Stegostoma tigrinum: one gene and its partner. The protein of the gene in region 1 purifies or fractionates together with the protein of each later gene. This does not show direct contact. Links are inferred from orthologs where the notes say so. Each region holds a gene or a part of one and is shown on either strand. Other genes may lie near its edges.

The links. The genes of interacting proteins can lie anywhere in the genome.
Region 2: the proteins of peptidyl-prolyl cis-trans isomerase FKBP5-like (region 1) and akt1 purify together in Homo sapiens (affinity purification with western blotting; 3 studies listed by BioGRID, with this or other methods). This does not show direct contact. The link is inferred for Stegostoma tigrinum from reciprocal best matches to the Homo sapiens genes FKBP5 and AKT1.

Annotation. Positions count from the first base shown.
Region 1 is NC_081374.1:42,890,324-42,894,076, forward strand, and holds the start of peptidyl-prolyl cis-trans isomerase FKBP5-like, read right to left. Parts: upstream 2,867-3,753; 5' UTR 2,645-2,866; coding exon 2,534-2,644; intron 1-2,533. UniProt on the Homo sapiens protein: Immunophilin protein with PPIase and co-chaperone activities. Component of unligated steroid receptors heterocomplexes through interaction with heat-shock protein 90 (HSP90).
Region 2 is NC_081363.1:42,992,023-42,995,775, forward strand, and holds the start of akt1 (RAC-alpha serine/threonine-protein kinase), read right to left. Parts: upstream 2,297-3,753; 5' UTR 2,190-2,296; intron 2,096-2,189; exon of another isoform or gene 1,797-2,095; intron 1,581-1,796; exon of another isoform or gene 1,523-1,580; intron 1,395-1,522; 5' UTR 1,323-1,394; coding exon 1,277-1,322; intron 1-1,276. UniProt on the Homo sapiens protein: AKT1 is one of 3 closely related serine/threonine-protein kinases (AKT1, AKT2 and AKT3) called the AKT kinase, and which regulate many processes including metabolism, proliferation, cell survival, growth and angiogenesis.

The DNA.
Region 1 (3,753 bases):
GAAAAGGACCACAACATTTCAAGCTGGAAGAGAGTTAAAGACAGTCAATGATGGAAATGTAAAATGAGTATGCAACTTTTATATAAAAGAAATGCTATATATATAAAACTGAACAGCAACTCAGAATGTACAATGAAAACAGCACAGCACTAAAAAAAAAGAATTGTTCAAGAAACTTTGAGAGAGCCACAGGAGGGGATTTTGCCCCACCACCACAGGAACTCAGACATACAAAACACAGAAATGAATCAGGTGCTGACTGGAAGTTACTCTGAAACTTTCGTTCGGCCTTAGTTGCAAACTTACCTCTGAGTTGGACAATCGAGGTTTCACTTCCCACCCCAGGATGTTATATTATGAATGCTGACTTTCAGTAGTAGTACCAGTGGAGTGAATCTCCAGACAGGATGCATTATTTCAAAGAGTGAGGGCAGGTGTCCCTCATGTTCAAGCAGGCATTTATCCCACAGTCAACACCTAAACTAGATTATCTAGTCATTATCGCATTGTTGGTTGTGAATGTTTGCGCTGTACAAATTGGCAATTGATTTTAATACATTGCTATAGTGAGACACACTCTTTCAAAATTGTTTTGGGACATTTTGAAGTCAGGGCAGGTGCAATTTGGAATGATTACCAGAACAACAATTAAATCTCATTAAATAACAATGGAAAGATGTCAGATGGACACATGAGCCATAAGTCATCACTAATCAGATTCACTTTGTCAGGCACAGGGCATACCTGAGTTTTGCAGGTTGATATTTGAGATGGTTAGTTAATTCAAGATGGAGAAAAAAAACATGTTTAAACTGATGATAAAACTCTACCTGGTATCAGCTTCACTCACTATACGATTATTGAACTGAGGTTCGAGAAAAACATACTGAGGCATTAAGACTGTTTATTCACTCAGATCCAGAATTACCCAAAACATGCCAGCACTCTTATTGAAAATAATCCTACTGGCATCAACAATCTTGGAATAACAGCAACAAATGAAACCTTGAATATTGACATCGGGGTAAAAACAGAAGTGAGATGAATTACTGAGAGAGCTAAATGGAGTACAAGGTACTGTGAAACCCAAAGGTAACACAATCGTGTCATCGTCGGTGAGACATCAAATCTCCACCACATTGACGTCTATAGGGAGGTAGGACTCAACAGCAACACTGAGCGACCCCAGCCGTAGAAGACACAGCGACCAAACAAATCTGTAAGTTCAACAGCTCCACTCTAACTGGTTTACTCTGTTCTCTCTGGTAATGTCAGCGTGCAACTCCTTCCTCCCCACAAATATCGCACTTCCCTGAACTGGCGCGCATCTCTGTGCTGTTCATGTGATGCGAGAAAGCCAGGGCTTTGAGAGCTGTAGCCGGAGTTCAAGAGGAAAGTCTGAGGATAGGCTGGGGTGGGAGGGGTGCCGGGGGCTAATGCTGGGGTTCACTTCAAAACAAAACTACTCTCTGGTTCCGCATCTGGACCTGCGATGACAGCTTGAATGCTGTACGTACATTAAAGGTCCTTCATCGTGCATACGCCCTGAAGTAAAAACAGAAATTGTTGGAAAGACTCAGCAGATCCGGCAGTATCTGTGGAGAGAGAAACAGAGTTAACGTTTCGGGTCCAGTGACCCTTCTTCAGAGCACTATGCATTAAATGGACAAAGTTGGAGTTTCAATTGGCGATCGGGAGTCCAGAGTAAACAGGAGGAGGCTCTGAGTGCAGTCTCCAAAGTGGGCTGGAAAGAGGTGAAAGGAGAGAGTGGCGGTTGGGACAGAAAAAAATTCGATGAACCGCTGACTCTGGCCAGAGAGCAATCTGCAGCGAATGTCAGTGTCATGAGGAATTGGGAATGGTTCCTGAGTGCAGACTGTACACACAGCTTCGCAAATGGGCCCGGGGACCTGCGACTGTCTTAAACAGTAGGGGCTGTTCGGAGCGGAATTAAATCAAAATAACATCGATCACCTCTAGTTCTCGTTTCACATTTCAGTAACACCCCAGACTTCGGTGAAACTTCCCGATTGTGATTGGCTGGAATGTCTCGGCTTTACGTTAACATAAAGCGGTCAGGGACACAACGGAGTGGGCATTCAATAGTTTATGGAGAAAGAAATTGTAAACATGGAGTTTAAAAAAATCTACATTTGATCTATTTGACATACAGAATGTGCCAATCAGAGTGGGTTTAGTCACACGAAGCGGGTAGGCTATGTATAATATAAAAGGTCGTATTTAGTACGTTTCTGATCCAACCACAGCAGAAACAGTTTTTGAGATGGGACTAGCTAGACAACCACTGCTGCACTATTGAAACAAAATAGTTTATGACAGATAAAGTTACAATATAATGTGAATAAATAGTCTAGAATTTGCTTCATTTAATTTTTAGTCACTTTCTGAGACGGGCAGTCTAACTTTTATGTTAATTTTAAAATGAATGATGATTTTTCAATGAAAGCCATACATCTGAAAGTCCGACTCTCTCTCTCTCTCAATGTCCGGAGAAAATGCCTGTATTTGTTACCTTAAGCACCCCCCTGTCTTGGTTGGGTGTCAGGTCCTCGGCTATCTGGTCCAGTTCCGTAGCCTGGGCTTCTTGCTCAGTCTCTTTTAGTTCCTGACCCGTGGTCATCATTCAGCCAAAGCGTACGACTTACTGGTTTCCACGAACTGCTGCACCCTCAGCCTCTCTCTCTCTCTCTCAGCTCTATGGCCACTAGGAGACTGCTGGGCGTTGGTGTCGCTCCGCTTGCTTCCTGCAGAGCTCGGTGTCCGAGCCGCTTCCTTGTCGCTCTGCCTCCTCTCAGCGCCGCTCTCCGGGAGATATGGAGACAGCTCTATCCCAGCATTCGTGGCGCGGGTGAAAGTGGCCTATTCCTGTCCTGGTGCGGGGATAGCCGTCATGGGGCGAGGTCAGAGGAGGTGGGGCTTCCAACTGCTCAATGGGGATGGGGAGAAAGGGGGAGGTGTAGAGAGAGGGGGAGTCCCAGGGAAAGGGGGAATCCCAGCGAGAGAGAATTGCAAGAAAGGGAGTATCATTAGATGTATCATTGATGGGATCAAGAGATTACAATGAGCAAATAGGCAGTGAAATTCATGGAGGACACGGGTTGGCTTCCTGTGACAGACCTGAAGACACGTAAGCGCTGTCTCAAGTTGAGAGGAGATTTGTCTTAGAGCATTCCAAAAACAATGAACGACAAAGGTGATATGGATGATGTTACTGGTATGAAGCCCCATTTACTGCAAGTTCAAATCAAACAAACAGGAGCTCTGGCTGCATGGTTTTCTATTTGTAACAGCTCTCTGAGGTTAGGACCCAGACTCGAGTCGAAACCCATGTTTTAATGCAACGTGTTGAACGCCTGAGATAAAATAGAGAGTTCATAGAAGGCGAAAACAAAACTGAACCTATTTCGAACTAAATAGCTACAGGAGAGATCCGATAACAACCCATTAGGACGAATGATCGAAGGCTTTGCCAAAGAAGCAGCTTTCAAGTAGTGTCTTCAAATAAAGACTTGCATTTATGTAACATCATTCATGACCACCAGTTATCCCAAAACAGTCAATAAAATACTTTTGTAGTGAAGCCATTGTTGTAAAGTCGAAAGCATTGCAGACATCAAACTCACAATAAGAAGCAATATGATAATGAACAGACGGTACTGTGATGTTGGCATTTCTCTCTAACCTGATAAAAAAACAAAGCCATAATATACTGACTAAATCAGGCTAAGTGCA
Region 2 (3,753 bases), on another chromosome or scaffold:
GGTTAATATTTTGATTGAAATTAATTTCAAGAAATGTATCAAATAAACCATTACATTAAATGGGACACACTCAACATTACTTATCCTAGATAAAATGTTTTTATGCCCACTATCACTACAATTTTGATTAAATATGAAGTTTGTATTTCTATTTTTTTCCCAAATATTACTACACAAACATCTACTATCTAATATTGAGTAATAGTTTTCATCAGTTTATGCTTCAACTGGTTATATTGTATAGCAGTTGCCACAAATTAAGCAGCACTGTATAAAAGTAAAAAGTAATATGCCATTCTAACAAAGTGACATATATATCTAAAAACATTTCCTCAAAATACATATACACATCTTGGTAATATTATGATGTGTATATCAGATATCCTATCTTGTAATGTATAAATGTGCTTGAATCTTTTCATACACTGTGCGGCATTTGTTATAAGGACATACCTCCCATGAAATTAATTGCGATGACAGCATTTCACAATGCAATACTCTCCTCCAAGTGATATAATAAAAGTAATCAGTTGCATATCAATAATATTTTATTACAAGTACTCTTGACAAAGTAAACATAGAACTTTTTCAATGCGCGATTAAAGAGTCTATATGTCAGTTTTTGAACTCAATGGAGTCAGTTTTTCCACCGTAAAAATGTGGTGAAATTGCTGGAGTGGCAAATGACATGTCTTCATCATTCAAAAGGCATTCATTCATGTCAGGAAGTGGAGAGTAAACCACATCCATCATTGCACAAAAGCTCAATTCCAGTATTTGTACTTATGTTAGAACCTCCTATTCAGACTGCACTCAAGGTCTATACCATAACTGGGGACTTAGATAGTATTGGCATGTGAAAATTATTGCAAGATAGTGTTTTGTACAATAAAATTATTTATTAATATTGACAGTAGTATTATTGTGTTAAATACTGTAAATGCAGCAAGGAGGTTTTAATTCACAATTCAACATTTTAAGTGCCTATATTTGTTACCATTTTCACCAAACATAATCAATAATACAATTCAAAAAATGCACCTTATGGACAGTGCTTCTGACATTACAGAAGAAAACCCTTAACCGATACCATAAGATCAAATAGGGTTACTGTAGCAAATTATATCAAATCAAGATGCTCTCTTGCAAACTTTGATAGGAATACAGTTGTTTACCAACTCTGCTTGTTAAAACTAGACAATAGTAAAATGTCTGTTTAAACACGTGGAAAGAAGAGTGTTGTGTACTTCCACTGGAATCAATTACAAAATCTTACCTCTTTTGTGAAGCCACCCCTCTTTCACGATTGTACCTTCAGTCATAGTGATACAAAAGATTTAAAAGTAAGTTGACTCGAAGGTTCCTGATTGAAACCCTTTATTCTTCACAGCAACCTGTGTTAAAGGGAGAAAAAAGCAAGGGTAAGTAGCAGGTAATTATATCAGTTAGCAAGCTTGCGTGGGTTAGGACAAGGTGGGCGTTCACGTACAAGTCAGTGATTTCCAGGCCATTATGAACTTACGGTCCAGACTCTGAACTGATTTTAATGAATGGCAGAGAACGTAACGCGCTTGGCGGAGCATCGGCAGCTAGCATCCTGTTCCCCGGGCACAGCCGCAGGACAAGCGGCTTCCCCGGCTCCTGAGGCGGCTGGCCGGGAGGGAAGCCCAGGGCAGGGGGCAGACCAGTCTAACATCTCCGGACAGGCAAATGGGAACAGGCCTAAAGCTGAGGCAGGCCTGTAGGCGCTGGGACCGTCCTCAGTGAAAGGTTTACCCTGAGGCTTGCTTTCCTACCTGCAGCTAGTCGGGTCCGGCTCCCGACCTCTTTGTATTGCCCCTATGTTTAGCTCCGGATCATAACTAAGGTTCGCAAGGCGCTGAACTGCAGTAAACGGTGTGATAGCTTCTTCCTTGTGCGAGAATGGGTGACGTTAGGCTGGCTTAGTCTCCCCAGCACGTCAGTACGGGGGCTACACAACGCCCAGGCGAGCTCTACATCCTTAACAAGCAGTAAATACAATAATCGGTAGGTTCCGCAACAAATTCAACGACTCCGGCAATTAACAGCAGTGAAGAAAGTAACGACTGAGACTCACTACTAGCATTAAAGTAACTATCATAACTGACAGCAGACAATTCACAGAAACTGATGAGATAAGAACTGCTTGGGCTCAAAAATTAACTAACCTGCTACTATTGCACGTGACACTGAGCAGATCAACGACTCGGACAGCCATTTTTCAGACTAACCCCTCGACCAGCAGAGAACAGTCAATAACAGGGGCAAACTATTGTGGTGGATAGTCAACAAAATCATTGTTTCCATTGGCAGGTGGGATTAGATTGAAGATTTTTTTTAAGTAAAAGGACTGTGTTGTGGAAATTTTGTCAAATTTCATGGAGGGTTTCTCCCAGAGAGGTCTGTCAATCCCAAACTTACTCACTGACCAGGTACCATGCCCATGACAGCCAGTGCTAGCCAATTCACAGTAAGCAGAAGCATTGGTCCCAGGACTACTGGCACCGGCTCATTGTGCATCCTATCTAGAGCTGGCAGTCCAGTGCTGCCCTGTGTAATCAATGATATTTGCCCCGGATGATGCAGGTAATGGAAAATTGCTACCTCACTTTGTAGACCAGGGGACCTGGAAGCTTTAGTCGATAGCATGCTGCTGAGGAGGGCCGTCCTCCAACCCCAGCCTGGTAGAGGTGATCTTGGAACCAGACCCTACCTGCCTATAAGGTTGCCACCTGGATCAGTGGACTCCAGAGTTTGGAGAAACACCTAACAATGCAGAAGGAGAGACTGGAATTGCACACAGTATTCCAAAAGTGGCCTAACCAATGTGCTGTACAGTTGCAACATAACCTCCCACTCCTATACTCAATGCACTGACCAATAAAGACAAGCATACCAAATGCCTTCTTCATCATCCTGCCCACCTGTGATGAATGTATTTTAAAAGAATTATGAAATTGCTCTCCAAGGCTTGCTGTTCAGCAACAGTCCTCAGGATCTTGCCATTAAGTGTATAAGTCCTCCGCAGATTTGCCTTTCCAAAATGCAGCAACTCACATTTATCTAAATTAAACTCCATTTGTCACTCCTAAGCCCATTGGCCCATCTGATCAAGATCCAGTCGTACGCTGAGGTAACTTTTCTCGCTGTCTTCTATACAAAGCAATCTCTATTCCTGTGCTACTCCTACATTACATCACTGTGAATGACTTTGCAACACATTAGAAATTTTACTCCTTGTTCACAATGCATTGTCTCCTTTCTATCCTGCAGATATAAACAGCAATAGCATGGTCTCCATAGTCAACATTCCTCACATCTCTGAGCAAAGTAGCATGTTGCCTCAGAGGATATACCAGCAAGGCAGCCTCATGTACCTATCCACTAGTTCAGGTACTGCCCCCTCAGTGAATGCTTCAACTAGATGTGGGAGTATCTGCTGATGAGCATGTCACTCCTAGGTCTGTGCAGCTGACTGAGAAATGCCCCAGGTCATTGGCATTGGAGAACAGGCACCTGCCCACACTACCCAGGGGAGGAGCCCATTGATGTTGGCAACAAGGGAGTTAATGCTGAGACAAACACAGGAGCAACAGGTACGTTTGTCAGGAACACCGGGCAACATGAAAGAAAGGTTGCAGGATTCCAGAAATGCTACAGGTACCTTGCAGCCTTAGGTCTATGATTGTCTGGCTGTTTCCAAGAACACTTCAGAGAATGCCAGGGGTGCCA